3 linked regions of the Arabidopsis thaliana genome follow. The protein of the gene in region 3 interacts with the protein of the main gene of each other region in a pairwise test. Each region holds a gene or a part of one and is shown on either strand. Other genes may lie near its edges.

Region 1 (11,240 bases), on a different chromosome or scaffold from region 3:
GATCCGAGAGTGCACCATATGAAGCACTGCGTGAATCACCCCACCGGCCTTGTGGGAAATCTTCCCAGCCCTTGGTTCTAGAAATGTAGCTCTTTGGACGGTTTGCCCTTCAAAAGATTAGAAGAAAGAACAAGTCTTATTTTCCCTGCAGAGTAAAATATGTGGCTAAGTATAATCAGAACGAGAGAAACTAAGCTCTGTTACCAGAAAATGGGGCGCACATCTTCCTTAGTACGGAAAACATTTGCAGGGCGTCTCCAGGGTAAAGAACGAGAAATTTTGGACTCATCAATCATACCAAGATTCTGAAACAACAACAAAATAGTAAAGCTACTCCACTATCAGTATCATGCTTTACATCAAGTAGAAAAAGTGAGGACCAACCATCAATATTGCAAGAGCAGATTTCTCCATGTTCAATGTGTAGAGATGAAGAGACTTGACTCCATGAGCCAACATCTTTTTACACATCTCTGTTCCAAGGTGAATACCATAGGCTTTCACAGCTTCTTCGTTATCCTTGATAGGCTCCAAGGCAGCCATCACCTCAACTGGTATCTACATTAATATAATCATATGTAAATTCATCTATCTTTTTTTCACAAAAAGCACAGCTGGTATCTACATTAATATAAAGAATTCTCTTTGAATAGCTATCCAACAAACACTTTCTCTGAAAACAATAATATAATCAAGTATCTCAATTTCATCTAGCTGATCACGAAACCTTAAATACACTTTTTTAAAAACATATCCTAAGCTAGCAAACAAACACCTTTATGGAAAGGCAACAAGCAATATCATTCATCTCCTAAAAGGTGATTCATTTGCAGGAACTGGTGTTTACTAAACGATCAAAACTTACCTTAGTCTTGCAGAAACCAGTCATACGCAAAAAGCCTCTGTAGTTATTAATAGGCATAATTCCAGGAACAATGGGACAACTAATCCCAATTTGCCGACAATCATTCACAAACTTGAGGAATATATCAGTATCATAGAAAAGCTGAGTAACAATCAGATCAGCTCCAGCATCAATCTGTTCCAAGACAAACCCAAATTCAAAAATTGATGCAGACATTTAAGAACAAAGCAAAACAAAAACAAACAAAACAAACCTTTTTCTTCAGATACTCAAGATCACTCTGATAAGCTTCATTAGACGCAAGACCATTCTCACCAATAACATCAGGATGCGCCTCTGAAATATCAAAACACATAAAAATCCAATCTTTAGCTACAAATCACACGAAACAAAGAAATCAAATTCGAATTCGAGACATTACCAGGATAACCAGCGACAGTGATACCAAAGTAATCACCATACTTGCTACGAATGTGATTAACAAGATCCAAAGCACAATCAAAACCACCTTCAACCTGAACAAACTTATCTTGACCATGAGGAGGATCACCTCTAAGAGCAAGCACATTCTGAATCCCATTAGATCTAATAGTCTCAAGAGCATGATCAATCTTCTCAACAGGCATGTTAGTACACGTAAGATGCATCATACTCTCAACACAAACAACGTTTTGCATCCTCGAAGCTATATCAAGCGTTAGATCTGCGGTAGATCCACCAGCTCCCCAAGTGATATCGCAAAACGTTGGACCATAAGCAACCATTCGATCCATTCTCTCAAAGAGATTGTCGACTCCATCTTCTGTCTTTGGTGGGAAGAATTCGAAGGAAAACGCTGTTTTGCCTTCGTCGGCTAATGACTGGATCTTATCTATCACCTTCATCTTCTTTTCGAAATGGAGAAGAAGAATGAGAGACAAAGGCGAGTTCTTTCAGGTTCTTCTACTCACTGCTTTATAGTAAACAGAGAGATTCCAAAATGTTTGGTGAATTTTAGACTTTACCTTACCCGTCCACTTCCTTATATTATTTTCATTTTTAAGACAAAATCATACTTTAAATAAAGTATAATTACATAATTTACATTTAATCATTGTTTTGTGCGAAAATCCATGTAGTTAGACAACATGAGTTACATTTTTATGCTTGACAAAAAAAAACATTTTTATTAAAGTGTTTATTATTCAAGAGATTTACCAAACCATTCTAAAGTGAAAAAAATGAAGAATCCGAGTTATTTGATATTAAGATAGTCGAGTTGATATTAGTAAACAAGATGAGTTACATAATTATTTTAAAGGAATGTGATTAGTAAAAGATTTACCAACCACAATTAGATTTGTCGTTATCAATCCCCAACCCCTGCAGTCTATGCTTTTTGAGTTGGTGAACCAGAACCACACACCCACATCACCCACCTACTACCAAAAAACCAATGATCCATCACTTTTGTTTAACAAAAATAATCTACTTTTACCAAAAAAAAAAAAAAAAAAAAAAAATCTAATTAAAATTTTCCGTTTTTCACTTACAGTGTATCTTTAAACTTTACAAAACTTTTTCCAATTTAAAACTGTTATGTTGTTTTAGTAATTTTTCACTTGTTTAACTCATTTTGCATTTGAAGGAATTTGAAACGTTAATCGCTAAAACAAAACTGGTCAGATTTTGCAAACACCGGCTTTTGTCGGCGACACCGACACAGTCACACTCACACAGATGCACGAATAAGAACAGCACATGCAAACAAGAACAAACCGGTCTTTGGATACAAATTTTTAAAAGCTAAACCGGATATGAGATTACCGGTTCTTACAAAGTCAATTACACACCACGAAGGTTCTTGCAAGACATCATCATTTGAGATCCCCATGAAAAAAGAAGGAAGGAGAAGAAAGTACAGATGTGGTTACACAAGTAGATATATGATATCTCTTATAATGGTTGTACAAACACAGGTCACAAGTTAGACGCAACAAACAATGTCACTGCACCAATCCCAGTCAGTCAGACCCGGGTTTTTTGGGATACCTTTAGTTTACCAAGACAGGTTATTTTGGTTTCTCAACTTCAAAGCAATCTGCAGAAACATAGCAGCCAGGGTAATTTAATACTCTATGCTTCTGGGAGTTTTAATGTTTCATTAAGAGAGTGAAGAGTATAAATCACCTGAAAACAATATTAGACAATCTCCCAGTCTTCTCTCGACATGTCGACAAACTCGGTAACACCATCCTCGAACATCACCTGGACCAAGTTTAAAGATGTTAACAGAGAGGTCTTAATTGAGAATGATTTTGCCAAGTTCGATGGTGAGGAACAAGTATTGGCTAATTGTAATACCGAGTGCTTTCTTGAATACTCATCAAAATGTCTAACGAGGCCAAAACACCTGAAAATCTCAAAAGATAAAACATTGGATGAGAAAAGCATAGAATGAGTCATAAAACTAATCCACGAGTTCAAAACTCAATAAATACCTATCACTCGTGGGGCGAGATAACCTGATCACCACACCAATGCAATTACGCGAACATGTATCCCTTTGACTAAGATTGTTCCATGATTTTCCTGGAGAAACATGGGAATCCAAATTACTTTCTTACAACCAAAACACAATAAGCTACTCTCGCAAATTGAGCAGAAAAAATCCAAACTTACCTGCATCTATGTGTCTATTTACAAGTCCATTTTGATGCACCTAACCAAAAGTGGGGAAAGAAAAAGAGTCACTTAGACCTCATCACACAAATTTTTCAGTGACTGTGAAACTATGCCAGGGCAAAGACGAGATATATATTTGATTCTTCTTTTCAGATAAAATTTGAAAATACCTTGGGCAGTGTCTGGGCCAATTCATGTGCCACTAGATTAAAAGCTTCATCCGAGGCTATCTTAGGTTTGCTAGGTTTTACACCAAGCTTCCTTCTGCAACCTACAGCCCCACAATGGCAGTCTTGATCTGCACCAAACTGAACAAACCTGCTCTATTTCTTAGTGTCACAACTCAACATAAAAACAGATATGTTACAAAGTAAACTGGAGAAGGAGGATATAAACTTACTGATAATCATAGGTCAAATGCTCTCCCTTTTTGATACCACGGGTGGCGAAAATGCCGATTCTGGTCTCGCCGTCAATTATCCTAATTGCAAGCAAAAGTAAACCAAATGATGACTTTTCTCTCTCAAGTATTCTAAACTAGGAAACAAGCACTAAGGGTTGACAGTTAACAACAAACCATTTCTGCATCTGCGTATTAGGGTTGCAGCTATGATTAATATATCTTGATTTGTTTCCCTTATGAGTAGCATCAATAACCATATCTCTGGTTATCTCACATAAATAAAAGTTTGTCTCGCCACGGTGTTTCATCTTCCAAAGCCTCTCTTCACAAGTCTTATCATCAATAACTACATTGAGCAAAGGTACGAAAAAAGAAAACAAATTAGACCATGGTCGCAGTATATTCAGTAGGGAGACAAAATATCAAATAGTCACATCACCTTCTCCAACATATTCAATGATAAACTCTCCAGCTTCGATTTCTTCTTCTGCCACAATCCCTGATCCGCATTTTTCTGTCTACAAGACACAACTAAAATAACAAACCGACAACAACAAAAATCCACTCTATCCAACCAAAACCAATCACACATTACCTGAATTAACTTCATCTTCTTGACATGTCGTTGTTGGAACGGCTTATTGTTACACTCACTCCCACACTTGCAACTTGAGGAACAGCTTGAGAATAGCATCCTAACACAAAAGATAAGGTTTTTTCCAGTTCAATGTACTTAAACAAGCAGATAATTATGGTCTTATATCAATGAAATGCTGAAATAGATAGATCAAGAAAAGTGAAATAAAAACAGAGGCATACCCACAATGGCAATTACTCCCACAGACAGTTGAAGAAGAACCAGGAGACGAGGAGGAGCAAGAACAGAAGATTCCATCATCTTCAACCCTCCTTTTGACTTTCTTCGTCAAGTATATATCTTTAACAAGTCAAGGCCAAAACAAATCTTGATCAAAGCTAAATCTGCAAAATGAAACAAAACCAAAACTGCAATTGCAAAAAAGGATACTGCGCCTGATGAAGATATAAGGAGTAGGTTTTCCTTTATTCAACCACTCCGGTAACTCGAATTCTTCAGATTCTCCAATCTGATTCAATAGCTTGTCGAACACTTGCCCTAAGTGATTCCGGTCCGAAATCTGAGAAAAATATCTGGAAATTTCAGATATCAAGAATAAAGTTAAAATTTCCATGAAGCGGAGATTGTTTTTGAACAGACCTTTTTGCTGGCTGGCATGTCGAAAGAATCTAAAAGAAGCTCTAAAAACCAGAGAATAAGCAAGATTTGAGCGTCGACCTATTGAGGTAACACCAAGTTCGATGAAACTAAGAAAAGAAGATGGCTAAAACTAGTACGTCTCTCTGTTGTTTCGGAATTCGAAGTTTCTCAACCCTAATTATTACTTCTTGTTGTTGTTGAAGAAGAAGAACTGAAGAAGTAACAATGGCGGATCTGAGACAGTAAGAAAGAAGAAAGAGCGGCAGTTGCTTTTTTTTTAATCTTTTTTTCTCTTTGATAATTACGCTTCAGAAATAAATGGCTTCAGGGTAAAACCGTAACTTGACTCGATATGATATGTTGGCCCAGTGTCAATATGGGCTTTTTTATCCGATCCAATTTTTTTAACTAGCCCAAATTAGCTGAGCTTAATTAACCCAAACTAATATTGTTGCTTTATGTCGTTTATATGTCATAGCCTTTTAGCCGTAATCACTAATCACATTAATAGCAAGCAGCAGCAACATTTTAATTTTGTGTACTGTTAACATGTTGATGGATGTGTTAACAAAAAAATTAGGAACCTGGAGAAAAGTAAAGTAAAATACTATCAATGTCATTGTTAATATAATATTCGAACGTTTTATCCGAAGTAAACAGGTAAATCGGAGAGTATTTATTTTTTTCCACGTAAAAAAATGGTAAACAAGTGTAATCATAATTCATAACCCTGATTATGTGAAGTTTAATTAATAATTAAACGATATAGATTGTCATTAGTTGAAAGCGAAAGATTTGAAGAAGGTAAAAAGAAGAATCGCCATTGAGATTGTCCCAAAACCTCCAAAGGAAACACACGTTTGTCTTTGCTCTGAGGTATCTTCGACGGGACGTTGAAGCGAGCAAGATACGACACGAAATCGATCTCCCCCTTGCGTTTTCCATCTCCGTCGTCTGCTGAAACCATTTGATCGATCTCTCAGGTGATCCTTCTGTTTCTTTTCCTATTGTTTTCTCTCTGCTAGAAAAATTCGGAGTTGTGAGAATTCCTGGGCTAAATTGGATGATGAAATTCTGCTACACGAAGAGGAGTTGTCAAAATTTAAGTTGATTAATTGATCATTTTCGATTACTGTAGATCCGTGAGTTGAAATTTCGTCAAGCTCAAGTCTGTTTCTTGATTTTGTCATTTGCTAGAAACATTCTTCAATTAAGAGAATATGCATGTGGAATCCAAATGCTTTGATCTCTAAAATTTTGGTTTATATTTCTCTGTTGACTCCCTAAACCTTCCTAATATCATGCGGAAAATTCTATGTTGTGATGTTTCAAGAGGTCAAGAAGCTATGGATTGGGTTTATTTTCTCATCAAAATCTGCTTAGTGTTTGTAATTGTAGAATCGTTATTGTGTTACATGCTTACTTGTTTTTGGGGTGTTAAGCTGAACTTCAGTGGTCACAAAACTATAGTTATGGTCTCAGAGAGTTAATTGATTAAACTTTTCTGAACCTTGAAGTCACACACACCCAATCTTGTGTAGTGTTTGAAGTTAATTGTGGAAGTTTTTAGTCAATCTTGGCTTTCTGATACTACTTAAAAGTATGTTGGATGTTAATTCAGTGTCTTTTGTGCTTATTATTTCAGATAAGGTTCTCAGGATTTAGGTTGCTTCTATGAGAAGGACACGTTGCAGTTGGTGCTTCATGTCTAGGTAATGAAGGCTTTATGTGATAGATTTGTTCCTCAACAATGTTCTTCATCAAGCAAGAGTGATACGCATGATAAATCCCCTTTAGTTTCAGATTCTGGACCTAGTGATAATAAGTCCAAGTTTACCTTATGGTCAAACGTGTTTACGTCTTCTTCCTCAGTTTCTCAACCGTATAGGGAGTCTTCAACTTCTGGGCATAAGCAAGTTTGCACCACTCGTAATGGTTGGACAGCATTTGTAAAAAGAGTCTCTATGGCTAGTGGAGCAATTAGGAGATTCCAGGAGCGTGTTTTAGGGCCTAATAGGACCGGTCTTCCGAGCACAACTAGTGACGTATGGCTCTTGGGTGTCTGCTATAAAATATCTGCGGATGAGAACTCAGGGGAAACCGATACTGGCACTGTATTGGCTGCATTGCAACTAGATTTTTCATCCAAAATACTGATGACATATCGTAAAGGTTTGTAAACTCAACTACAGATTAAAGCCAAAATAAAGTTTTTTACATAAAATTTACCATTTACGAATTGTATTTTACAGGTTTTGAACCCTTTAGAGACACAACTTATACCAGCGATGTGAACTGGGGTTGCATGATTCGAAGTAGCCAGATGCTTTTTGCTCAGGTGTGAGGAAGAGTATTTCTTTTGGCATGAGATTTTGAAGTTTATAACATATTCTGACAAACCAAATATTATCAGGCGTTGCTTTTCCATAGGCTGGGGAGGGCTTGGACTAAGAAATCTGAGGTAAGCTCAATGTAGCAACACTAGGAACAGAAACCCGGTTTCTTGCATTGAGATAGTGGAAACCTCATGCTTGTTTGATTTAAAAATGCAGCTTCCTGAACAGGAATACTTAGAGACCTTGGAACCTTTTGGTGATTCCGAGCCTTCAGCTTTCTCCATCCACAATCTTATAATAGCTGGAGCGTCCTATGGTCTCGCTGCTGGGTCATGGGTAGGACCGTATGCCATTTGTCGAGCGTGGGAGTCATTAGCGTGCAAGAAGAGAAAACAAACTGATTCTAAAAACCAGACGCTTCCTATGGCTGTTCATATCGTTTCTGGCAGCGAAGATGGAGAGAGAGGTGGGGCTCCAATTCTCTGTATAGAAGATGCTACCAAATCTTGTCTAGAATTCTCAAAAGGACAGTCTGAGTGGACACCGATTATCCTTTTGGTTCCACTGGTTCTTGGGCTTGACAGTGTGAATCCCAGGTTTGCAACTGTGAAATTGATTCCATTATCTCTGTTATGCTCGACTCGTATTTGTACTTGACCTTTCTGACGTATTGCTATAATCTGATGACAGGTACATTCCATCTCTCGTAGCCACATTCACTTTTCCTCAGAGCGTGGGGATTTTGGGTGGCAAACCAGGTGCCTCAACTTACATAGTTGGTGTTCAAGAAGACAAAGGTTTCTACCTTGATCCGCATGAAGTTCAACAGGTTTCATTTCGTGCCTCTGAATTTTTTTAGAGTCCATAAATCTTGGTCTGGCATTGTGGTGGTCCATAGTACCTAAGTCGGATAAGATGCCATTTCACATGATAAGTCGGATACTGATTGAGACTTATCGTTTGATGATTGATTTAGGTGGTCACAGTCAACAAGGAAACACCAGATGTTGACACATCCTCCTATCATTGCAAGTGAGTCTCCTCAAATTATCATGTCACAGACGACTTTTGCCTGGTTCAGTTTTATCTTGTTTCTTAATTTTATCTTGAATCTGCATCAGTGTCCTTCGTTATGTTCCTTTGGAATCACTCGACCCATCTCTAGCTCTAGGATTCTATTGCCGCGACAAAGGTATTGTATTACTACATTCTCTGAAACCAAAAGTTTTTAAATTCTGTAACTTGAAAAAACCTTTCCCTAATCTTCAACAGATGATTTCGACGATTTCTGTCTCCGAGCATTGAAACTAGCTGAGGAATCAAACGGTGCTCCATTGTTCACAGTGACTCAAACCCACACAGCGATAAACCAAAGCAACTACGGGTTTGCGGATGACGACAGCGAGGATGAACGTGAAGATGACTGGCAAATGCTCTGATCATGATCATCGTCAAACATTTTAACAATCTCAAGCTACAATTCTTTTTTTCCTTTTGTTAACCAGTTCTTTGTTTTTTATATGTGTTGGTGTATATTACATCAGATCAGAACACAATGTTGTACTATAAAATCTTTTGGGATTTTCAAACATAGATTGAAGCATGCGAAAATGGAAGAGTAGAGAAATCACAAGGTATATGAACATGATGACTCCATTTTCCCATTTTCTTCTCAGTCGTCATCTTCATCATCACTCCTCCTTCACCTTCACCTTCACTCTCTCTTTTACCGCCAATCATTACCACCGATTCACCTCCTAAGCTTCCGGCGAAAACTGAGCTTCCTGTCATCGGAAGCTGTATAGATTGAAGATCCAGTTTCAAATTTCTCGAATCATCGTTAGTTTCCCATCGACGTTCACTCTGTAAATCAGTGTCTGTGAAACACCATAACGTAGAGGAGCTTCTAAAGTCTCCGGCGGTGCGACCTCTCGGGCTAGTATCTGGAAATCGCCAGACGTTGTCGATTCTCGACCATGAATCTGTCGCTGGATCGTAAATTTCTCCGTCAGATCGGAATCTTCCTTGAGATTCCGTTCCGTAACCGCTCAGCACGCAAAACCTTAGACCCATACCAACGGCGAATCCTTGACATTCGTCTCTTCCTTCCGTCATCGGAGTAACCGACGACCACTCGTCTTTCTCGACGTCGTACACCTCCGCCGAGCGTAAAGCGTTTTTCTGATCGTCGTGACCTCCGGCGACGTATACCTTCGTTGGACTTACGGAGGCGCAGGCGAAGAATGATCGTGATTCCTTCATTGGCGCACCTCGTCTCCACTTCCTTCCGGCGAATTCCAGAACGTAAACGTCTCTCGTCGGCTGTAACGTCTCCGGATCCCAACCGCCGATGAGCAGAATCTTCCCGGCGTCCTGAAGCACGACGCACTCGCAGAAAAGCGGGATCTGCTCCTCCTCTGGAAACGCAACGCGATGCCACGTGGACATCGCAGCGTTGTAAACGCTCAATCCAAAACGCGGCGTGCAGAAAACGCGCGGGTGTGACTCATCCTCTGATTTTTTCTCGTCAACCATTAATGTCTCGTCAACCGATTTAGACGCTGGAATTGGCGGCGTTAGCGGTTGAACGAGGCAGAGGAGAAGCTCTGTTTTGCCGCATCTCCGCCGTTCTTGGATAAAAGAAGAGTCGGAGAGTAAGCTACGCCAAGAACGGCAAACGGATCTCATGGCGGATTGGAATTGGAACGGAACTCTGACCAAACACTCCAAAGCTAGTTCGGAAGGTAAACCGGGAATCAATTCGTGACATTGCTGAAAATCTCCACCTTTCTTTTTCGACACTTCCATAGTCATCGAACTTAAACAAGTTTGAGAAAAACAGAACAGAGAGTGTGTTTGATTGAGCAAAGTGTCTATGTGTAGAAGAAAACACACAAAAACTGACGAAAGTTGCGATTTAAATTTGAGTGAGTGTGAAGCTACAAAGAGGTGGCAGAGCCTTTAAATAGGGAAAGAGGAGGATGAGTTTGCTTGCGGTTGAAATAACGCGACGGTTCGTTTAAATTTTTAAAAACCCCTATAAACTTGATTTAGCAGCGTATGAAAAAAATCAAGATTCGTGTATGTTGCAAAACGCAAACGTATCTAAAAATTTATTTCTTAATCATTCCCTTTCAATCTCACCAAACAGGCAAGAGTCAACACATGGGTTACTTTGATGCGATTTCCTTAATAAGGAATAAAACTTTGAAATGGAATCTATAACAACTGGTTTAGTTCATGAAGACGGTGCTTTTGTTAAAACAATCTTTTCATAAAACAGGAAAAGTAGAAAGCTTCTAGAAGACTTTCATAAGGACAAAATGAACAACTAACAGTGGAGTAAATCATATACTCCATAAGAATTTGATTATTTGAATATCAACCAAAAATTCAAGAAATGTCCATGTTGTTTCATGATGTAAATTGTAAAGGCAAATAGTTGAAGTTAGGTCAGTGGTTACTTGGTTAAGTGAAGTTAGGTAACAATATTGTATATTATAATCACAAATTAAATTGACAGTATACTGCGCCGCACTTTTTGTTTAACGCTTTTACCACTGTATAGCGTCTATAGTTTAAAAACAGTTTGAACTAATAACTTTTTAAACTAGTTTATCAACTAGATATCTAGATTACTATTCCATTTCAGTGTCAATTGAAACCGAATCTATGACATCTTGATAATAAAGTTCACGAAGACCAGTAGTGAGCTTTTTAGTCTTTACCATCACT
Region 2 (10,536 bases), 6.7 Mb from region 3:
TGTTCCAATGCCAAGGGACTTTAGAAATGGGGAATGAATGTACTAATACATTAATACACACTTCCAAGAGGAAAGTGAAAATGCACCTTGGAAAGATGAAGAAAGCGTGTGGTAAGTGAGGAAGCAAGTAGACAAGTCTTTTATGCTTCTATTCATGGGAATGTGATAGATTGGATACCTACACATACAATCAAACATCGTCACCATTTTACTACATTAACCTTAACTTTGTTTTCTGAAACAAGAAAAAGAAGAAAAGGCAGACCAAGCAACAGCCATCCAACTCGCAGGAGACAGATCAACACTCCTCAATGACCTCAACCCTACGTATCTTTCTCCCAACTCTTTGATCTGAAAGTAGACAGAGACTTATGGAATCATAAAACAATGAAAGAAAGTGCTTCTGGAATCAAACTCCAAGAATGGGGAACAAACCTTATCCATGAGAGGGACTCTAGAGTAAGGTGTACATCTCTCGAAATACTGCAAGTAAGAGTAACCGAGGCGATCGAGAGGTTCTTGATGATCAAACCCTTCTTCAGACGAAGAACATCCTTCCCATCTCCACTCCTCGCTACACGACTCGCTCCCTGAATCCCCTGATTCTGTCTCCTCCCTAAATCATCATTCATCGCAGCGACATGTTAGATTGTTGAATATATGCTTGTGTTTATGAAAATGGCAGCATAATGATCATTACCTAAGAGTATTGATAACAGAATGAGAGGTGAAAATCTGGATTGCAGAGAGGTAAGGAACATAGTATTGGACCAATGTTTCGCCCGTTTCCGATACAATGGGGACACCTGCACCGTAAGCACTCCACTCGTCGAAACAATCCCAAAAATCTCCCAACCTGAAATACTCGACGCTCTGGCTCTCCAACGGATACCATAGAGGATTAAGGTTCTTGATCTGTGTCTGCCAAAAAACACACAGTTTCAGATCCTAAATTCAGAGAATTGTTTTAAGAAAAAGAAAAAGGCGTAAACCTTTGGGAGGGAATAGGCAGGCACAATCGGTGTAGTGCAGCGTAAGAATCGGTCTAGGTTAGATTCACTGTCAAAAACCATCATTATCCAACAAAGAACCAAACTTCGACCCAGAAAAAAAAAAAAAAGAGAGAGGAGAGAGTATTGCGGGATTCTCTTTCCCTGACGTTTCAAAGAGCTTAGTTTTCGGACAAAAGTGTTAGCTTTATTAGACGAGCATTTGAGACTTTCACGGCAATGTCAGAAACAGGGAAAGATTGAACGAAAAGGGACAAACTTTTTAAAGAAAACTCCAACGGAACTCTGTTTTGAGCAATGAGAAAAAAAACAAGTAAAATTGTATCTACTTTGAGATAAAAGAAAGTAAGGAAATAGGTTTATATAATCAACCAAACTCCATGAGACCCATTCTTCTAAGGCAGGAGATTATTGGTAGATTCACCTGTCTTTCTCACAACTCTCCACCTTCTCCATTTATTTTCATTTTCATTTAATAAAATATAGTTTCGTTTCTCTAACTTTGTCGGATGAGATTGAGTTTTGTTTGTTTGGGTTTAGTATAAAACGTTATGGCTTCTTAATATCTTCATTTTGCATAGTTCGTGAACAACACAACAAAACAGAGCTATTATTCCTAAGTCTTAGATGATGACATCTCCCAATACAAAGTCTCCTTCTTTTGGATACATCTTGAAAGAAGAGAAACTAGGTCGATCACATATAACAAGATTTCAAGAGAAACTGGGTCAATGACTTTTTTGTTTACATATTATAATTCATATGGTTTAAAAGAATCATTAACATAAAAGGACATGTGTGACAGGATCAGTCGGCAATGTTGTAATCCAAGTTAAACTAAATATCTACTATAGAAGTTTGACACATTCAAATAGTACGACGACATGGGGATAATAAAAGTACGGAAACACTCTTTGACTTTTATGGATTTCTTACAAATTTCTATCAGACAACTGTAGAATATGCCGCTAGTCACGTAAATGTAATTATTAAAACATTATCAAAAGATTGATCGGAGAAGAAAACTCAAGAAATGGTCAAATATGTTTTACCAACTTCGTAAAGAATAAAGAGAAAGTAAAAGAAATCAAACTCTTTCAAAGTGGAAGCCGTCGTCTCTCGCTGACTTCTTCTTCATCGGTTTTTCTGTTACTTGTATGTGAAGCCAAATAAACCTGCAGAATTCACGGTTTGAATATGAGAAGAAAGTAGGATTTTAAATAATAAAAGAAAAGTGAGAGAGAAGACAAAGACCTCGTTGCACAAAAGCCCATCACAACCAAAATTACTAATTAGACATGTGTGGCAAATGTTATGACTGATCATCATGCAATAATTCACCGCCAATACCATAGATGCTACCAGACTTTGTAGGCTCTCTCTCTTTAGTAAATAAAGCACTTTGTTTATGTTCGTTTAATGTACCCATAATTAGCTTTAACTATTTCACTCTACTCTATATATTACACACACTATCTCTTCCATCTTCCCTCCACAAACCACACATTCAAGCTCTTACCTTTTATCCTCAACTAACACAACAATGGCTTATACTCTGCAAAATCTGACAGCCACAATTGTTCTGGTAAGCCTGATTCTTGGATGTACAGAGGAAGTAACCGGAATGCGTTACATTCCCATTTCCCCCACTCCCAGTGAGAGCAAACATTCAGACTTTCCTGTAAACATGGTGCCTCAACCATCTAGTCTCATTCCTGGTTTTGGAAGGTTCTTGCTACCTCCCACACCTAAGCTGCCATTCCTTCCTTACAAAGATCCCCTTGCTGTTGCCCCAGCCACTTCAAATGGAACTCCTAGTAATAAAGCCCGCAGTCCGAGTTCAGGAGAAGATGAAGTTCCACCAGTGCCACAACCATGACCTGTCAACAAATAAGCTTTTGCTAGATGCAGAAGGGTATTCAATTCTGGTTCACATAACAAGTATACTAGTCATTTCATCATAGTCATATATCTTCATGATCTCTCTCTATATATACTTAAGAGGATATTGAATAAATTCCAGAGCTTTTGCTTACATACTATCTAAAAATAATATTTCCAAATAAAATGTAATGACTCACATTGCTGCAAATGTATTGAGTCACAAAAGAGTAGAAATATGTAGAAACTCTTCAATTGAATCATTATTGCCATGATTGAGTCAAAAGAGAAACTCTCTTTACAAAGTCTGAAATTTTGTCAAGATATGTAAAATCTCAAAGTTTCAAAGTAATCTCAGCATTAGCATTTAGCATTAACAAAACCAACGACAACTACGATGTATTAACAAATCAAATTTGGAAACTTCTAAAACAATGCGATGATAATGGACAAAGAGATGTCTTGGAAAAGTCTATTGGAATTGAAGTTTCTGTCTATCCATAGCGAATTGGAAAAAACGATCACCATGACCAAAAACCAAATCGATGAAGGTTCGTTCAAACACCCAATACCTTGAAGATGATATAACAAAGAAAGCAGAAAAATATAAAGAGGAAAAGATAATCAACGAACACGAAGAAGTTCGTGGATCCATGGTTTCGGTTTTTCATCTTCGTCTTCTTCTTGTCCTCTGACTCGTCCTCATCAATGGGTTCAATCTTCGCCATTGTAGTCCCCGTGACCAATACGCCGATCAAGTTTTCGCGGGATTCCGAGATTGCTCTTCTTCTCCGATCGATTCGTCGTTCGTGTTTTTTCCCTCTGAGATACTATTATAACTTGAGCAAGGTAGGCCCATTTTGGGACCATAGGCCCAATAAAGAGAAAAGCCCAAACTACGTACGTAATGTTGACTAGTCAACTAAAAGTGGGAACTTGGGCAATGAAACGATCTTTTTCTACATCTTGTTCCTCTGTTTCACAAGTCTCTTTCCAGTTACAAATGAGCAGCCACGACCATAGAAGGTTTGGAACGGCGGGTCCTTTAGCTGCGGACGAAGAAGGTCAAGGACGTTTTGAGAGCTCGGTGAATGCGGTGCCATTTGGTTTGGTTGCGACCGGAGTTTTGATTGCTATCTTCCTCTTAATTGCTTTTTTTGAGAGGTTCATGTTCGTTAAACCAACTCCATCACCACCTCTCGACCAAAAGTTTCCTCCTTTTGCTTCCCCCAAGGTTCATAACATCTCCTCTCTATTTGCTTTTATATTTTTGCCTACGTTTTTTGTTCTGTTGTTTTTTTACTTAGTCTTTTAACTCAAGTGAACATTCTGATTCACTTGGAATTTGCATCTAAATGAGGTTGTGATCATCAAACATTTGTGATTCATAACTATGCTTGTTTTTGTTGGGTGGTGAGATTAAGATGAAATAAACCTGCCAATGCGTATAAGTTATTAAGTTTAATGAAGTCTATCGGTCAGGATCATGATTTACCAGGGTTTATGCTAGAGGAAGCTCTTTTGTCGTATCTTTGAAAAATGGTGCAAAGTCCAAAACAGGATTACATTAAATGTATTATTTTATGGGGATACAAAACCCCTTGATTCATGCAACGAGGTTTGAATATAAGCAGAGTAGAAAATAAGATATGTTTAGAGGAATTCACTACCTATTTGTCGACACACTAGTTGTCTTTTGTGAGATGATGATGTCATGTATAATCTTGTGTTGTTTATTTGCAGATGGATGTGTGTAAAAGAGAGATATCGGTGTTGATGCCTGGAGAAGATGTCCCAACGTTCATTGCTCAGCCATGTCCTCCCTCATCATCATCAAGCTCTTTCTGAAACCTTCTTTCATCTCATTAAGTAGGACTTTTTATCAGACAAGTGTTTATGTAGTCAAGTGTTGTTAAACAGAACAGTGTTTCTCTGTTTGTGTCTGCTTATCCCATAGCAAAAGAGCAGCAATCTCCATAAAATAAAAAGCCATGGAATTTGTGAGCGTTGTTGCGTAGGCTTGCCTTTTACTTTACGAGTCCACAATAAACAAACCAAAAACGAAGATCCGCATAAGATTTGGTTAATAATTATACATTCCGCAATTTACAAATCAAAAAAAGGGAAAGAAAAAAAACAATCAATCACATCAGAGTTAATAATGATGAAAGGAGAAGAGATCATCAGAGAAAGATGAAGCATTCCATGGACACTTCAGGGTCTCTCACAGCTGTTACATCTTCTTCCTTCTTTACCTCAGCAGTTACTTTCTCCGTTTCTTCTTCCTTCTTCTTCACCTCTGTTGCTCCGTCTTTCTCCGGAGCTCCTACTCGTTTCTTCATGGGGCTTCTTCTTGCAGAACTCGGGGCACGAGTGGCTGGAGACTGTGAGCGACGCCTCGGATTATCCGATAACCCGCTCCGTGGGAGTGGACCCGAATCCACATTTCGCCGGTTGTGAGTAGGGTTTGGTTGACGAGACTGTCTCTCTCGGACTAACCTAGGACGGAGCTGCTTCCCCTGAGGAGAATGTCGTTCTGCCGGAGATCTGAGGACTCTGTCAGGCCTGTTACGGCGAGAGGTGGAAGAAGAAGGAGGAGGAGGACGGTGAGGTTTGCTGAGAGCATCGTCTTCGAGGATGGACGCAGCGGTAGCAGTTGTGGCAGTGGAGTAGCTGTGAGAGACAGAGACGCTGCAAATGTCGGACTTGCTGTGAGAGATCTCCGGAGCTGGAGGTGAGAGAGGAAGAGGAACTTGAGCTTCTGAATCTGAGACTGTTGGTGCGGAAGGAACGAGGTCGGGGACTGGGACAGGGACGGAGATGGGTATGGGGACGGAGACAGAGACTGATTGAACAACGACTTCTTTGACGGATTCTTCTTCGAGGGGTGGAGGAATTTGAGCGGCGGCGACTGGTGGAGCTGTGACTTTTCCGGCGCTGAAGCAGCATCCCATTTTCTTTCTACTTTTGCTAATTCCTCTCTCTCTCTCACTCTGCTCTCTCGAGAGTCGCGAGTCATATACTTGTCAACTTTAATGGGCCTCTTTCTCATGTTGGCCCATATTCACTATGGGCTCGATTATGCTCTTTTGTTTTATCCACTTTGATAAAGAATCTGATATTTGTCTCATTCATTCATATCTTCAAAGACAAAACGCTAGTGTTTGATTTTCTTTAAAATATTCAAAAGAAAATTATGCGGATGGACAAATATCTCGTTAGATAGCGACCCATCATCGTTGGGATAATTTCAACACACAACTGCCGATTGCCTTGGACAGGGACACCGGACATGTAACGACAGTAAGTAAAATGCTTAATACTTATACTACCAACATCTTCCTTTTGGTCGTCAAAAATGTAGTTGAAGATAAGAACTGACCATCATTTTTTAGCTCATCATCCATCCACTATGTTGCATTTACCTCATTGTTGAATAAGAACGCGTTGAGCAAGCTACTTTTTCATCTTTAGTTGGTTTTGTGTTAAATAAAACTTGAAGTGGAAAGAACCTAACATCGTTGCTGCAAACTTGATATTCGAATATTTATAACCACCATCTTAAAAACAAAAACAAAATATGAGAAGTTTAAAAACATGACAAAACTTTGAGTAGAAATCAGAAAGGGGCCAAGGCTCGTAAACTTCTAAACCCCAAGCCCATAATAAATGTTTTGAATCCATAAGTTCACTCCCATCCGCTACTCTTTTTTTCAGTTTCTTGGGAACAACTAGGAGGAAAGAGAGTTTTTAAAGTTCAAAGTAAAGATGTTGTTATACAAAAATTGTGTTGACAACTTATTCATATTCATGTCTCTGTAAAGATGTTGACATAATTATTTCACTTTCTTCAAAAAAAAAAACTGGCGACATTTTCTTTAATTCTCATTTATCCATTATGTACTTTTTGTTTTTGTTTTGCAACCCATCCATTGTGTATGTACTTAAGATAACAACAACAACAAATATACCATATATAAATCATATGGTCTACATACAACACTAGTATCCTCATCCGTATTAAAAAAATGAGTTCCTCGAACACATATAGCTACAAATATAGAGATATGACTTTGGGGTTTGAGCGCATTGCAGAATACCTAACAGGCATAGATGTCAATGACGTCGTCGTCATGTACTTGGTTACTAGTTGTTTTATAGACAACTAGTTGATTAAACCTTTTCTTTTAACAATTAAACAAACCAACCTTTATATATTTCTTCAACTTTTATTTTATATAAAAAAATAGCCAATAGGTGTGGTGGTGAAATGACTCGGTAACCAATGAATCCTGGTGAAAGGGAAGAGCCAAGAATTTGCAGAACCTCAAAGGAAAAAAAAAGGACCTTTGAAAATTACAAAATCAAGAACTTCTTGAAAAGAAGTAAGTACAAGAAATAGAAAAAGGAGTTATGACATTATAAAACCAAAGAGGAACCTGAAACAATTGACACAACCCTATTCCTCAACTTCTTCTCTCTTATGTCTTATCAAAAGCCTCTCACCCACCGCCTCTGTTCCTGCTCCTCTTATCAACCATAGAAATTCTCTCTCTCTTCCCTATATACAATACAATGTTATGTAGGTGATACATACTATAACATAGTTGTATATAAACATTAATATAATGGAGAGGTCCCATGCCCCCACGAGTTTTGTTTTGTTGGCCAGCTAATTCGCATCCTTTTTGTTTTGTTTGTATAAGAGAGTTTCTTTGTTACTTACTATAACCACAAGACCACAAGAAGGCCAAAGAGAGGCTAAACTAAAAGAGCTCTCTTTCTAATTTATTTCTCTCTCTTCTCTTCTCCCGAAAAGCCCTTAATAAGCTTTTGCTTTGATATCAGATCTCTCTTACGGCTTTTGAGATGCGTGCTCCTTTAGGGCTTTCCTTTTATACCCCAAAACGAGGCCTTTCCTTCTTCTCTCATCTCCTAATTCTACCCTCTTCCTCTTCCTCTTCCTTCTCTCTCTCTTCTCATTCTCCTCATACGCTATAAGGAGAAAATCTCAGAGAGAGAGTGATGGCGAACAATGAGGGAGAGATGCAATGTGGGTCCATGTTGTTTAAGCAAGAGGAGCTACAAGAGATGAGTGGGGTCAATGTTGGTGGCGATTACGTTGAGGTCATGTGTGGTTGTACCAGTCACCGATACGGCGATGCTGTTGCTAGACTTAGGGTTTTCCCCACCGGTGACCTTGAAATCACCTGCGAATGCACACCTGGTTGCGATGAAGGTCTCTCTTTTTTTGTCTCTACTGTCTCTTTCTCGTGTCTTTCTGATGCTTTTGGGAAAATGGGTTTTGATTTGTGTGCATGTTACATGTGAATGTGTGTGAGATTAAACGTTTGTCTCTGTCTAGCTACTATCACATTGGGCTGGTAAAGCTAGGGTCTTTAGCATGATTACATATTTATCAATGAGTCTTAGTGTATGCTAGCTAGATCCGTTCTTGTAGAAAATGAAATGACTTGATTTGCCACAGTAATGTTTTAGGCTGTCTGTTTATCTGTAAATGGTAATGCGTCTCTTTGTTACTGGCCAAGTGGTAGCTTTATTGACAAATGATATGTCTCGCTTAGCTGTACGTGTATGTCAAAGTTTGATGCAACCTAGTTCTTGTGGTATCTTGTAGCTAACAATTCCATCTCTAGCTTATTTGGTATAGATGCTCATTTAGAGCTCTCTTTGAAAGTAAAAGTGACTGACTTGAACAGTTTTGATTGTATGATGCTAGACAAGTTGACACCAGCTGCATTCGAGAAGCATTCTGGAAGAGAAACGGCAAGGAAGTGGAAAAACAATGTGTGGGTTATCATTGGGGGCGAAAAGGTTCCATTGTCAAAGACAGTATTGCTCAAGTACTACAATGAATCATCAAAGAAGTGCAGTAGATCAAACAGATCACAAGGTGCCAAAGTTTGCCATAGAGATGAGTTTGTTGGGTGTAACGATTGTGGTAAAGAGAGGAGGTTCAGGCTGAGGAGCAGAGACGAATGCCGCTTGCACCACAATGCAATGGGTGATCCAAACTGGAAATGCTCAGATTTCCCATACGACAAGTAGGTGTCTTTTGTTGTCCTTGTATGTACTTAAGTTTGATGCAAATGATGTATTATATCAATGAATGGTGTGGTGGTCGTAGGATAACATGTGAGGAGGAAGAAGAGAGAGGGAGCAGGAAGGTGTACAGAGGGTGCACACGTTCACCTAGTTGCAAAGGCTGCACTTCCTGCGTCTGTTTTGGCTGCGAGTTATGCCGTTTCTCTGAGTGTACTTGCCAGACTTGTGTCGACTTCACCAGCAATGTCAAAGCTTGAAGAAGGCAGTCCATTAAGAAAAGAAAAAAAAATGTCTGTCTCAGACTTTGTTCGTTGCATTTAATAACTTATTCTAAAACTCCAAACAGTTAATTATCTTATCTATGGGTTGTGAATGGAGCAATTGAAAAAAAAGTAGAAAAAGTTGATTTCCAAGAAGAACATGCAGACGAGCATGCCTGAGTTTAGTGCATGTCTAGATTTTTGGCTAGTGGCAGGGAAAAGTGTTATTAATAGTTTGTTGTTACTCTTTATTTTATTAGCTGTTGACAGCTTTGTGAGACGAAGTTGTCAATGGCACAGCTACTCGGTCTGTGATTTAGCCATTTAGGAGATGGGACATGGAAAGAGACATTTTCTTAATACCCAAAAAGCCCTGACGTCTTGTTTTGAACACAGTAACCATATGGGATCCCTTAAGTGATGTATACTTTTATTATCAACAACAAACATTAGAATCATAAAGACCAAGTCGTCACCAGGTAAAGAGGATACGAGAATAAATTCATCAGAAACATGTGAAACATGTGAAACGTGAAACCAAAGACGTAGAGGCATGTATGAACTTCAACATGTTTTTGTATCAAAAAAGTGTTTTAGAGTATAACTAGACTCATAAAGTAGTACATCGACTCCTGTTCTGTTACAACCAAAATTCATATCTTAAGGATCACATAACTGAAACCTGCATCCACAAATACGAGGCAAACATAGTGTTTCCTTCATCATACATACTAGACTACCTATAAATCAGAGATCAAACTATGAAATCCGCGGATTCATTCAGAGTCTTTCTCGCACGCCAATACACTCCATTGGCTGTCTCTGATGTTCCCAGCTGCAATAAACATCAGAAAGATTGTCAGTTAGCATACTTGACACTAAGTCATAGTATTGGTTTTGGTCAGGGTATTAAGAATCCACTTTACCTTTGTCTCCAATGAGTAGTAATTCTTCCACAGCTCCACGTCTTGACCGTAACTTGCAACAGCAGAATCATACAGCTTCCGGGCATTACTGAGACCATCTTTATCACCTACTGATATGAGGTTGGTCTCTATTTCAATGCAACCTTTGTATAGAACAAGACTGGGACCAGGAAGAGCCAAGAACCTGCAGTTTTACGGTAACAGTGGTGAGAATAAAGTCCATGTGTGACTCAAGGGACTGGAGGAGTAGTGACTCACCTCTTGTATATCTTCCTCGCACTGTGGGCCCCTTTTGTTTCAAGAACAAATTTCACCACTGTGGAAGCAAGAGAAAACACATGGTCGCTCCCATGGCTTTTGGTTGCTGATAGGATGGACATCTCTACAAGTTTG
Region 3 (10,246 bases):
ATAGTTAATCAAGAACATAGTTTTGAAAGTTTTATCTCATGAACATAATCACAGATTCTGCTTATTTTTTTTCTTTCTTTTTTGCTTTCATGAAATCAAAAGGAAACAAGCACAATTCTTCTGTGTCATTCATATGATCTCAGAAAGCAAAAACTATTCCCTTCGTGTCTCAAAAAAGTCCTTTTGAATCTTATTATCTCTACTTTTCTTCAGGATTCACTTGCTGTCTGGACCGGCGTGCACAATCCTGGAAACTCTTAACGAAACCGCTACATTTCAACGGACTACCGATGTTCTCCTTGTAGCATTTCATCCAGGCTTCGTGATCTGACGAACAAGGCATTGGTTTAGGTTCCGGGATCTTAAACTCTTTCTCCCTCAGATCCTTGGCTCTCTCCGTAACTTCACGAACAATGTTCTTCTCTTGTAACTCCAGCTTCTCAAGAACCTTCTCACTCTCTTTCACAACGGATTTTATCGATTCCAGCTCTGTGCTTGCTGCTCCTTGTGGTGGTATTGGGAAGAAAAACGGTGGCTGCATCGGTAATTCAGCCACTGGATTAGGTTTCTTCTCTTCATCTTGGTTTGTTTTCTGTTTGCTCTGTGGTGAGACTTTAGGTTTGGTTTTCTTTGCCCTCCTCTTTGGTTGATCGTTACCTTCAGCTAGCTGATTGATCAGCTTAGAACTGATCTGAATCGAGAAATCTCCCATAATTACCTGGAAGATGAAATACATCCACACAACTTAGTAAACAAGAGTATCTCCTCAAAATCTAATGCGAGTCTCAATGTGAACATCTCACAACAAAGCTTCTTCACATCAACGATTCACGCAATAGATTTTTGAAATTCTCTGCTTATAGTATTTCAAAGATCTTCAATTTCACGAATCAAAACATCGAAACCGAAAGCAAACAGATATCTAATCAAGTTCGTAACTAAGAAGATGATAGAATCAACATCGATCGATACAAAATCGAAGGAGTAATTCTTCGACATCGATATAGATGAATTCTGGAAACTTAAAACAAAAACCTAGAATCTACACCAAGCTTCAATAAATCGATGCAAAAATTCACAGATTACCTGGGAGGAGATGAACAAAGAAACGAATCGGTGAACGGCGATTCTCTCTTCTTCGCCAGAAGAAATCTTGTTACAGCTGCGAAACTGCGACGCTCTTCACAGTAGATCTGGGCTTAGTTTGCAAGATTAAAAAAATACTATCTTTAGCCCAAGTTATCTTATTGGGCCTAGAAGGCTATTACATTTATGTACATATAAACAAAAGTTTATTGGGCTACCTGATATTTCCTCTAAATGTTTTTATTTTTTTTTGACAAAACAAATACTAAATTTTCATGCATTACTGTATACAGAATTATTCATTTCATTTTTTTTTTATACTCTATCGGCTGATCCGGTCAGTTTTAGTAAAAACGCACCAATATGCTACAAAGTGGACTATTCCCGATCCAGGTAGAGTTAGACCACCACACTACCAGATTCGAGTTTGAAATGTCTTTCGACTAATGTTATAGAATAATCAGGTCGTCTCCATTTCTTACTACCATATAAACTAATTAAAGCACGACCCAACCGATAAATTTTCCAAATAAATATAATTTTATTCTAAGAAAGAATCGAATTTAGATATGGGAGTTTCACCCTTCGCCAGAGTTTTCTCTAAACAAAACGTTGTACTTCTTCTAACACAGACTAATCACGCATGTTTTTACAATATTATAAAAAAATGAATTAATTTGGGAAAAGCCCTCTACAGCTAAACTTACAAGTCAGTCACCCATGAAGTGGGAAAGTTTTACAACATAAATTAGATTTAGTTCTGTATACGTACGTGTCAAATAGGTGTTCGTCTTTATAATTTTTCCGTATAGACAACATGCAAAGATATATTACTATAACTCTATAAGATAGCTTATTTGTTAATTAGCCACACGTGTATAAACGTACGACTACGAACAAAAATGTTTACTTACTTTTTGCGGTATTGTCCACGGCAATGCCTAAACTAAGACAACTTCATAACCTTTGACGATGTTAGATTTCGAACACTAATTGTATATTGTTTTTATCGAAAAATCTTTACTATAATAAGTTTTTGTATCAGTAGCAACTAGCAAGTGTCTTTTGTATGTTATTGTGTGTTCAGCTAATTTTAGGATCAACTGTTTTAATAATAAAATATTCCTTTCCAAAGCATTAGGATTTACAAAATTTACCATTCAATCAATGGTTTACACTAAGTCTGAATCACATGCTAAATATATATGCATACCTTCCTATATTTGTTTCATCAAAACATATTCTAATTGAATTTAAACTTTCATTTTGGTGTTAAAGTTCTACTGGTCGTACGCGTGTACATTCGCAGGTATGTACCCTATCATTTCACATTAGTTCAAAAGTCATTTTCAGTTTTCACCAACCAATTAATCAAGGTTTTCCAACACTCCTCAGTTTTCGTAAAATGATATTAATTAAACAACTATAATTAAAATCCATAACAATGATTTATTTTAGACAAAAACATTAACTTTTTTTCTTCACCAAAATGATTTGATCATAAGAAATCGTATATATATCGAGAAAGAAACATTTCTATCGACATTAACAATTCTGTGAAGTATATATATATACGATTTCTAGTTTATCCTCCAAAATGTTTTAATCATCTCACCATCACAAGTTAGTTTATGCACGCATGTGATGTATAAATATTTTATACGTGAAAATGAACCATGCATATATATTATTGTTAGGTATACTGTATACATAGAATATTGATCATCATAAGAAAGGTACAAATTTAATTTCTTGGAAATTGTTGAAATTTCCCCATCACACATACCATATTAATTACCATGTATTTATTTTTTAAAACTATACGTATTCTGGATAATTACTTTTATATATGTATTCAGGTTGTTAATTCAAGTAAATCAAATAACATGTGATGCGTATACCTTAGACGTCGTATATTTCTGTATAGTTACTTTATACCAAAAGCCTATATAATTTATGAACCTAAAGCCTAAAGAATGTTTGCAATAATCTGGCTAATACTCACCATACTTAAATATTTAGATCGTATTTCGTTCTTCTGTACTCTATACACATTTTGTTGGAAGGAAGAATTTTTATTATTACTAAGATCGAACCAAATATTTATATTTTAGCATCTGATATATAATATAATCATGAAAATATTTGATCTAATCATATTATAAAATATTCAATTAACTGCAATCTATGCAATTATAATGATTACTTCCCACGAACAATAATGATTGAATTAAAGAAGATGATTTTAACAATAAATTCCTAACAAAACATATAGCGTCATTAACTATTTGGTTTCACTACTCACCTAAGTGGGTCAAATGAGATACTAATTTTCTAACTAAAATAAAAAATATGTGGTGAATGATGTAAGAAATACTTGGGTTATATATAGGTGGGTGAGCTTAGGTGCTTATAGGCTTTTGACAGAAATCTTCTAATTGGTATATACTTTCTACTTTCAAAATATTTAAGGTCTCATCTCTCTCTCTCAAATTAACACACAAAACATATATAAACAGTCAAATATAAATTAATGGGAAGGCAGCCATGTTGTGACAAGCTCATGGTGAAGAAGGGGCCGTGGACGGCGGAGGAAGACAAGAAACTGATAAACTTTATCTTGACCAACGGCCACTGTTGCTGGAGGGCTTTGCCGAAGCTGGCCGGTCTCCGTCGCTGTGGGAAGAGCTGCCGTCTACGGTGGACCAATTATCTCCGACCTGACTTGAAGAGAGGTCTTCTCTCCGACGCCGAGGAACAGCTTGTCATCGACCTTCATGCTCTTCTCGGCAACAGGTTTGAGCTTGTTTTAACCTTGTATTTCGTTTATATGTAATTGATCATTTGTTATATATTTTTACTACACATTATTAAACATGCATTAACTAAGCCGAATTTGTTAGTAATCTTTTTTTTAACAACAACATGAATTACGGATATAAATCCAAATATCGACAGCACGAGGATATTATCATAAACAACAAGGCTATATTCCAAAAAACAATTTTCGGTAGGAATGTTAAGTACTATATGCCAAATTTCACCAATATATTGTATCATATGCATGTTGTTAGCTAATTATGTATTTACCAAAAATGGTTAATCTTCTACATATAATCATATGATTGTCATCATTATAGTCATATAACCCGAGGTTAAATAACGTTCACCTATACTTATATACAAATAATAATAAAAATTAGTCAATTCTAAGATGTTACTTTTTGTGAAACACAGTAAAAAAACTATTAACATATATGTTGACTAATGATAAATGCTGTAGAAAATGTATTTGTGATGTACAATTGAAAATTAATCCATAATATTTTAATATAAGATAATGTATGGATCATTTGAGACTGAATAGTTTTATAAGAAAACGATATATCTTAATTCAGTTTCCTTTCTTTGAATTAAAGTCTTCTAAATATTTGTATAAAAAAGTTGTACATCTTATTTCAACTTCGAGACAAAGTAACGTTCCTCGTTTCCAAATAGAATATCATAGCGTATATATATTGTCAACTTTCTTGTGTTAGATTCCAAGACACAAGACTTTGACATCTCCACCAACACCTAGCTCAAATCATTATTTTTCAAAGGTAAACATATTCAATGTAACTAAACATATTTCTTAAAATTCTTTTTATGTATATATAGATGGTCCAAGATCGCTGCAAGATTACCAGGAAGAACAGACAACGAAATAAAAAATCATTGGAATACTCATATCAAGAAGAAGCTCCTTAAGATGGAAATCGATCCTTCGACCCATCAACCTTTAAACAAAGTATTTACCGATACAAACTTAGTCGATAAATCTGAAACTTCATCGAAAGCCGACAATGTAAATGATAATAAAATCGTAGAGATCGATGGGACAACGACAAATACAATAGATGATAGCATTATCACTCATCAAAATAGTTCAAATGATGATTATGAATTACTTGGTGATATAATTCATAATTATGGAGATTTATTTAATATTCTATGGACCAACGATGAACCTCCTCTAGTCGATGATGCATCATGGAGCAATCATAACGTTGGTATTGGAGGAACAGCTGCAGTTGCAGCCTCAGACAAGAACAACACTGCTGCCGAGGAAGATTTCCCGGAAAGATCATTTGAAAAACAGAACGGCGAAAGTTGGATGTTCTTGGATTATTGCCAAGAATTTGGTGTTGAAGATTTTGGGTTCGAGTGTTACCATGGTTTTGGTCAAAGCTCCATGAAGACGGGTCACAAGGACTAGCATTTGCAAGAATACATAACATATATACCGATATACTACATAATATGTGTATATAATTTATACGTACGCATCATAAAAGTAATGTAAGAAAAATCATGTAAAGCAGTAAAGAAGCACCATGGTTTTTTCAAAGTCTAATATTAGGGGAACAGAAAAAGGATCACTAGGAGTTATAGTAAGAGTTATTGACTTATTTCCCTATCTTTTATGTCTGTTTCCTGCATTTATTTCAAATTATAATTAGTTCAACCCAACAGTTTTTTCGCCTTGATTTTAAATTCTGTTTTGTATAAATTTAATAATTTATGCTAGGATATCCTTCATTAAATTGATTAAAAATATTGGTAGTCAAATTTTTCTATGTTGATCAGGATTGATTTTTAGAGTAAGTCCATGATTTATTAAATCAACCGGAAAATACAGAGCTTTTTTTTAATTTGTAAAATCGTTGTAAAAAATAATTTTGTTGAATTTGGTGTTCCCCAATAAATTAAAGATGAATTTGGTGTTCCCCAAAATATATAACTATTTGATGATAATTAATTTCAGCGACTTTGATAAAATTTATCTGTGAATTTGAATGATCTCATGATAAAAGTTTACCAAAATTCTAAATTTACAAAACCATCTGGACAACTAAGCTTCTTGTTTATATCTGTTTTATCATTGGCCAGATAATAACACACAAATATGAATTGAGAAAGTAATAAATATATTGCCAGTTTTTTTTTTTTGAAGCTATCATTTTACGTGGATACAAAAAAGACTTGGTGTGTATATTATTATCATTAAATAATAAAAAATCGATATTGAAATTTATTATTTATGTGAAAGAGTTCAAAAATGGACATCTCTACATCACATCCTGGCGGAATCAATTGTCACAACTCACAACAATAATTTTGTTTATATCCAATTGCAATTTGAAGCAATTTCTCTTTGTGGAAATCACACATGTGAAATATATAACTTTGAGTTACAACCATATGAACTAGACAAATATCTCATCTTAAATAGTTTGTAAGAATATCCTAATCAGTAATAATCTATTAACACTAAAAACTAAAACAAAAAAGTAATAAATACTACTAACAAAACTAAAATCTATTTTCTTTTAGCTACTTCGAAGAAATAATTTGGAAAAAATAAAAAAATTGGTCAAGAAATGTATTTTTTTTATATGAATCTCTAATTATCGTAGGAAATAATTGTAGAAATAAGTTTCTTTTCTACAGATATATTTAAGACACCTAAATTAACCGCTCTATAATGTCATATATCATGTACAAACAAGATTTTCAAGTGCACGATCACATTTCACATATATTAAATTTGAGTTGTAATAAACAAAATGACATTAAAGGCGACAACAACAATATTTTTAAAAACTCTAGATGTAAAAAACAAAATTCAAAATAAAACGCCATGTATAATTGATCCAAACACAATTCTCACATATAGCCGGATAGGAATATAGGCTATAGTCTATATAAAGCACTCCAATGGTTAAGAATATATAATTCAATTTTAATAAAACATCGCAGCAATCGTGATCACGACGATTCCGACCAAGCCTGTTCCCGCGAGTTTGCTTGCGGCATCCTTGTCAGATTTGGGTGCTCCTAGAAATGACGAATCAAGTATTTTTAGTAAAACTTGTGTCAAATTGAGAAATCTTTTTACAATCTCAACCTTCGATTTTAATTTTTTAAAAATGCTTAACATTTTCCTCATACTTTACGATAAATTTTATCAAACTTAACAAAACATATTAGAATTGTTCCTTACCTGGAACAGGTGCTGCCGTCTTCGGCAAAGGAGCCTGGGCTACAAAATACAAAAGGACAACAAAAATCACATTATCAAATATGAACTGACCTGGTTACAAAATATATCTACAATGTGTATGTTTCTTTGCTAAATAAAACTAGCAGCAACAATAATGTGGTGGCAAAGCTGCAAATAAATGATGTATTCTTTTTATCTATGATATAAACATATATATGAGACTTGTTTTAAAAGAGATAAATGGCATTTAAGGCGACAACAACAACAATATTTGGCTATCTAATGTTTTAATGCATGTATTCTACAAAAGTTATAACCAAAATGTTACCGGCAGTTTCGGAACACAAGTTGGGATCAGTGGTGAGTCCACAAGTTTTGGAGAAAAGAGCATTGAAGTCGGTGACATTGAAAGGGATCAACAACATTGGACTTTTGATGAAACCGCAAAGACAAGATAGCTGAGTTGTCAACGCCGTCTCTACGGCTGTGCAGCATTCCTGCGACGGAGGTCCTCGCTGAGTAATTGCCGGAAGACAAACAGCCAAACCAGCCGCACAGTTCATAGCTTCGTTGACTGAAGGACTAGGAGCCAGCGGAATATGAGGTCCCTGTCCTGAAACAGTCGTAGCTGCCACTAGCAATGTGGCTAGGAGTAAGATCAAGGTGGTGGTTTGAGCCATTATTAATCGTGGGAGAATCGTTTTCTTTTGTTTTTGATGCTTCCTTAATTAGTATGTATATACACAATCAACCGTGAAAGTTATTGACTTAGTGATAGGGTTATGTCAGCTTGTGGTATATGTATACTTCTAATTGGCATAGTTTATTCGTGGACTTTTGTAACACAAAGACATATTCTGTTCCAAATTTGAAACAGATATTTATATCTGGCATAATAATATAAGTACATCCAGTGAACTAATTACTAATTCACGGACATTTTATTAGGAAAGGACCCGGCAAAGAAAATGATTGACAATATGAATTGCCCTGGAAAATAATAATAAAAATATAGAAAGAACCATGATGCACGTCAGAATTCGAAATTAGAATTAGCTAATGTAATCAACTATTATTTTTTTTCTTAATATAAAACCTATGTTCAAAGTGGTTCATACGGTCACTATGAATCTATGATAGTTTACTTCGCCGGCATTGAAAATGCTGAATAGTAGTGAAAAGTTATTTTTAAAACATAGTTGGTGCGATGAAGAACAAATTGACAAAGAAATGGTAATATCTATCTATAATAATCTGCCAATGCTAGAATATGTGGAGCCGCAAAATGGTGGAAACCGCCAGAAAAGTTTGTAAGAGTTTTTACATTTGTGTTATTGCTGACTAAGCTTCTTAGTTTTTTTTTATTTAGTGACAAACCATTAAATTTTATTATATGACAAAAACGCATGCTATGGTTTCGAGTTTACGGGATTACGGGCTTCGACCCAGAATCTCCTGGTATTCAAAAAAAAAAAAAAAAAAGACAAATGATATGCTAAGAAAAAATAAGAAAAGTAAAGAGAGATGTTTTTTTTTTGGTGAGAAAATAAAAAGAAATGTTAAGATAACATTAAAAAGGTTATTTTAATAGTATACTATTTTATTTTATTTTGAACAACAACTCTTCTATTAGAATTAGGTTTCCATACAAGAGGCCAAAAGAGCAGTTTTTGCTAATGCATTGGCTTGCTGATTGTTTTCTCTAGGAGTAAAATTGAAAGAACAACAGATGAAATTAGATGATAAAACTTGGTTTAGCCGTTTAAAAGTATAATATTACAATACACATTTAATAGGTTAAATTCTTTGGTTTAGCCGTTTAGGGAGGGATTACGGGGATTGGGGTGGTCGGATTGGATTGGGAATTTTGGAAGGGTTTGATATTTTTCTAAATTCCTGTTATTCAATTGATTGGAAGGGTGGTCTCTCTCAAAAGTCAAATCTTAGAATTTACTTAAATAATCATTAATTCAAAGTTACTGAAACCTATTCTTATTTAATCAGTACTTTGTAAAAAGCATATTAAATCCTGTATTAATCAAATTTAGTCAGTTTTTAAAGAAAATGTTTTTGAAGCATTTTATGACTCTTCATATTATCATATAGATATTTTAATTAAAAAGTGTACAAAAAATCATACATAGAGGGTCCGATTGGTAACCTACGAAGGAATACAAAGAATGAAGAGGAACATGACTAAAAAAGAACAAAAAAGAAAAGAAAAAATGATAAAATAGGAATGAAAAGGAATCAGTGTAGAGGAAAAATAGAACAAATGTTACTGTAAATGATAACAAAAAATAGAATAAATAGTAACAAAAATTAAAAATAAAGAAATTATTTTCTAAATTAAATAGTCACGTTATCACCTATGTTTTTTTCTTCTAACTTTCCATAAATTAATTTTTAATTAATAAATATTTAATTTGTTTTCCTGTTTGTTCTTCATCAAATTTGGGAAGGAACAGTTTTCTTGTACGATTCCTCAAAAAATAAGGAATGATTAGGAATAGTGTAGGGTCCACATGTTACAATTTGGGAAAAAAATTCCTGCTGAATGGTGAAAAAGAAGAGGAACATGTTATTCCTACCCATTCATTTTCTAAAAAGTGGTCACCAATGGGACTCACAGTTTTTTTTTTTTTTTTTTTTGGCAAAGCATACATACAGTCTAAGACATTAATAAAATTTGCCAGTTGGGAGAGATTCTAATCAAATTAATAAAACAAAAACGCTGGGACCTTTTATCAATATGTCTGTAGTCTTTTATTTTCTTAGTAAATTATTTTCATTGTTACATGATTACATAAATCAGTGGTTATGTAAATATCAGATTCTACTCTTTTTCTTTGTCAATATAAATATCCACCACGTCAGCAAACAATTAGGGTTTTTGAAGTAATACAAATAGGTTTCGAGTGGGGACTTACCCAATCTTCTTCAGGCAAATTTGTTTTCGTCGCAAACTTTCCTTTATGGCGGCTCGTTCGAGGATTCTTCAATTTCATCGCTTCTCGCTTCGTCGTCGTCTATCACTATGCCCGGCCAAAAAGGGAGGTTTAGCTCGTGAGTTTCCGTAAATTTTAATAGATTTAGCATCGAATATCCGAATTA

What was found.
Region 1: the proteins of MYB42 (region 3) and ASHH3 interact in a two-hybrid assay, tested with the Arabidopsis thaliana proteins (one large-scale study listed by BioGRID).
Region 2: the proteins of MYB42 (region 3) and ULT1 interact in a two-hybrid assay, tested with the Arabidopsis thaliana proteins (one large-scale study listed by BioGRID).

What each region holds. Positions count from the first base shown.
Region 1 is NC_003071.7:18,252,810-18,264,049, reverse strand, and holds ASHH3 (histone-lysine N-methyltransferase ASHH3), read right to left. Parts: upstream 5,482-11,240; 5' UTR 5,188-5,481; coding exon 5,170-5,187; intron 5,090-5,169; coding exon 4,960-5,089; intron 4,870-4,959; coding exon 4,752-4,869; intron 4,628-4,751; coding exon 4,528-4,627; intron 4,451-4,527; coding exon 4,372-4,450; intron 4,279-4,371; coding exon 4,107-4,278; intron 4,011-4,106; coding exon 3,930-4,010; intron 3,848-3,929; coding exon 3,700-3,847; intron 3,567-3,699; coding exon 3,527-3,566; intron 3,437-3,526; coding exon 3,346-3,436; intron 3,258-3,345; coding exon 3,209-3,257; intron 3,113-3,208; coding exon 3,047-3,112; 3' UTR 3,035-3,046; intron 2,946-3,034; 3' UTR 2,508-2,945; downstream 1-2,507. Other genes in the region: MTHFR2 (methylenetetrahydrofolate reductase 2), read right to left, coding at 1-107, 205-305, 385-558, 866-1,039, 1,119-1,201, 1,287-1,749; AT2G44140 (Peptidase family C54 protein), read left to right, coding at 6,885-7,341, 7,422-7,507, 7,583-7,630, 7,722-8,101, 8,196-8,334, 8,482-8,537, 8,627-8,697, 8,778-8,944; AT2G44130 (Galactose oxidase/kelch repeat superfamily protein), read right to left, coding at 9,090-10,319. UniProt on the Arabidopsis thaliana protein: Histone methyltransferase.
Region 2 is NC_003075.7:13,977,837-13,988,372, forward strand, and holds ULT1 (Developmental regulator, ULTRAPETALA), read left to right. Parts: upstream 1-7,186; 5' UTR 7,187-7,916; coding exon 7,917-8,203; intron 8,204-8,611; coding exon 8,612-8,956; intron 8,957-9,039; coding exon 9,040-9,214; 3' UTR 9,215-9,606; downstream 9,607-10,536. Other genes in the region: AT4G28150 (hypothetical protein (DUF789)), read right to left, coding at 87-178, 266-351, 436-616, 701-921, 993-1,076; AT4G28160 (hydroxyproline-rich glycoprotein family protein), read left to right, coding at 2,554-2,889; AT4G28170 (uncharacterized protein), read left to right, coding at 3,799-4,125, 4,635-4,739; AT4G28180 (uncharacterized protein), read right to left, coding at 5,075-5,845; AT4G28200 (U3 small nucleolar RNA-associated-like protein), read right to left, coding at 9,972-10,052, 10,144-10,327, 10,402-10,536. UniProt on the Arabidopsis thaliana protein: Putative transcription factor that acts as a key negative regulator of cell accumulation in shoot and floral meristems. Negatively regulates the size of the WUSCHEL (WUS)-expressing organizing center in inflorescence meristems.
Region 3 is NC_003075.7:7,321,293-7,331,538, forward strand, and holds MYB42 (myb domain protein 42), read left to right. Parts: upstream 1-3,463; 5' UTR 3,464-3,619; coding exon 3,620-3,882; intron 3,883-4,746; coding exon 4,747-5,344; 3' UTR 5,345-5,575; downstream 5,576-10,246. Other genes in the region: AT4G12340 (copper ion binding protein), read right to left, coding at 200-712; AT4G12360 (Bifunctional inhibitor/lipid-transfer protein/seed storage 2S albumin superfamily protein), read right to left, coding at 6,872-6,966, 7,133-7,171, 7,461-7,812.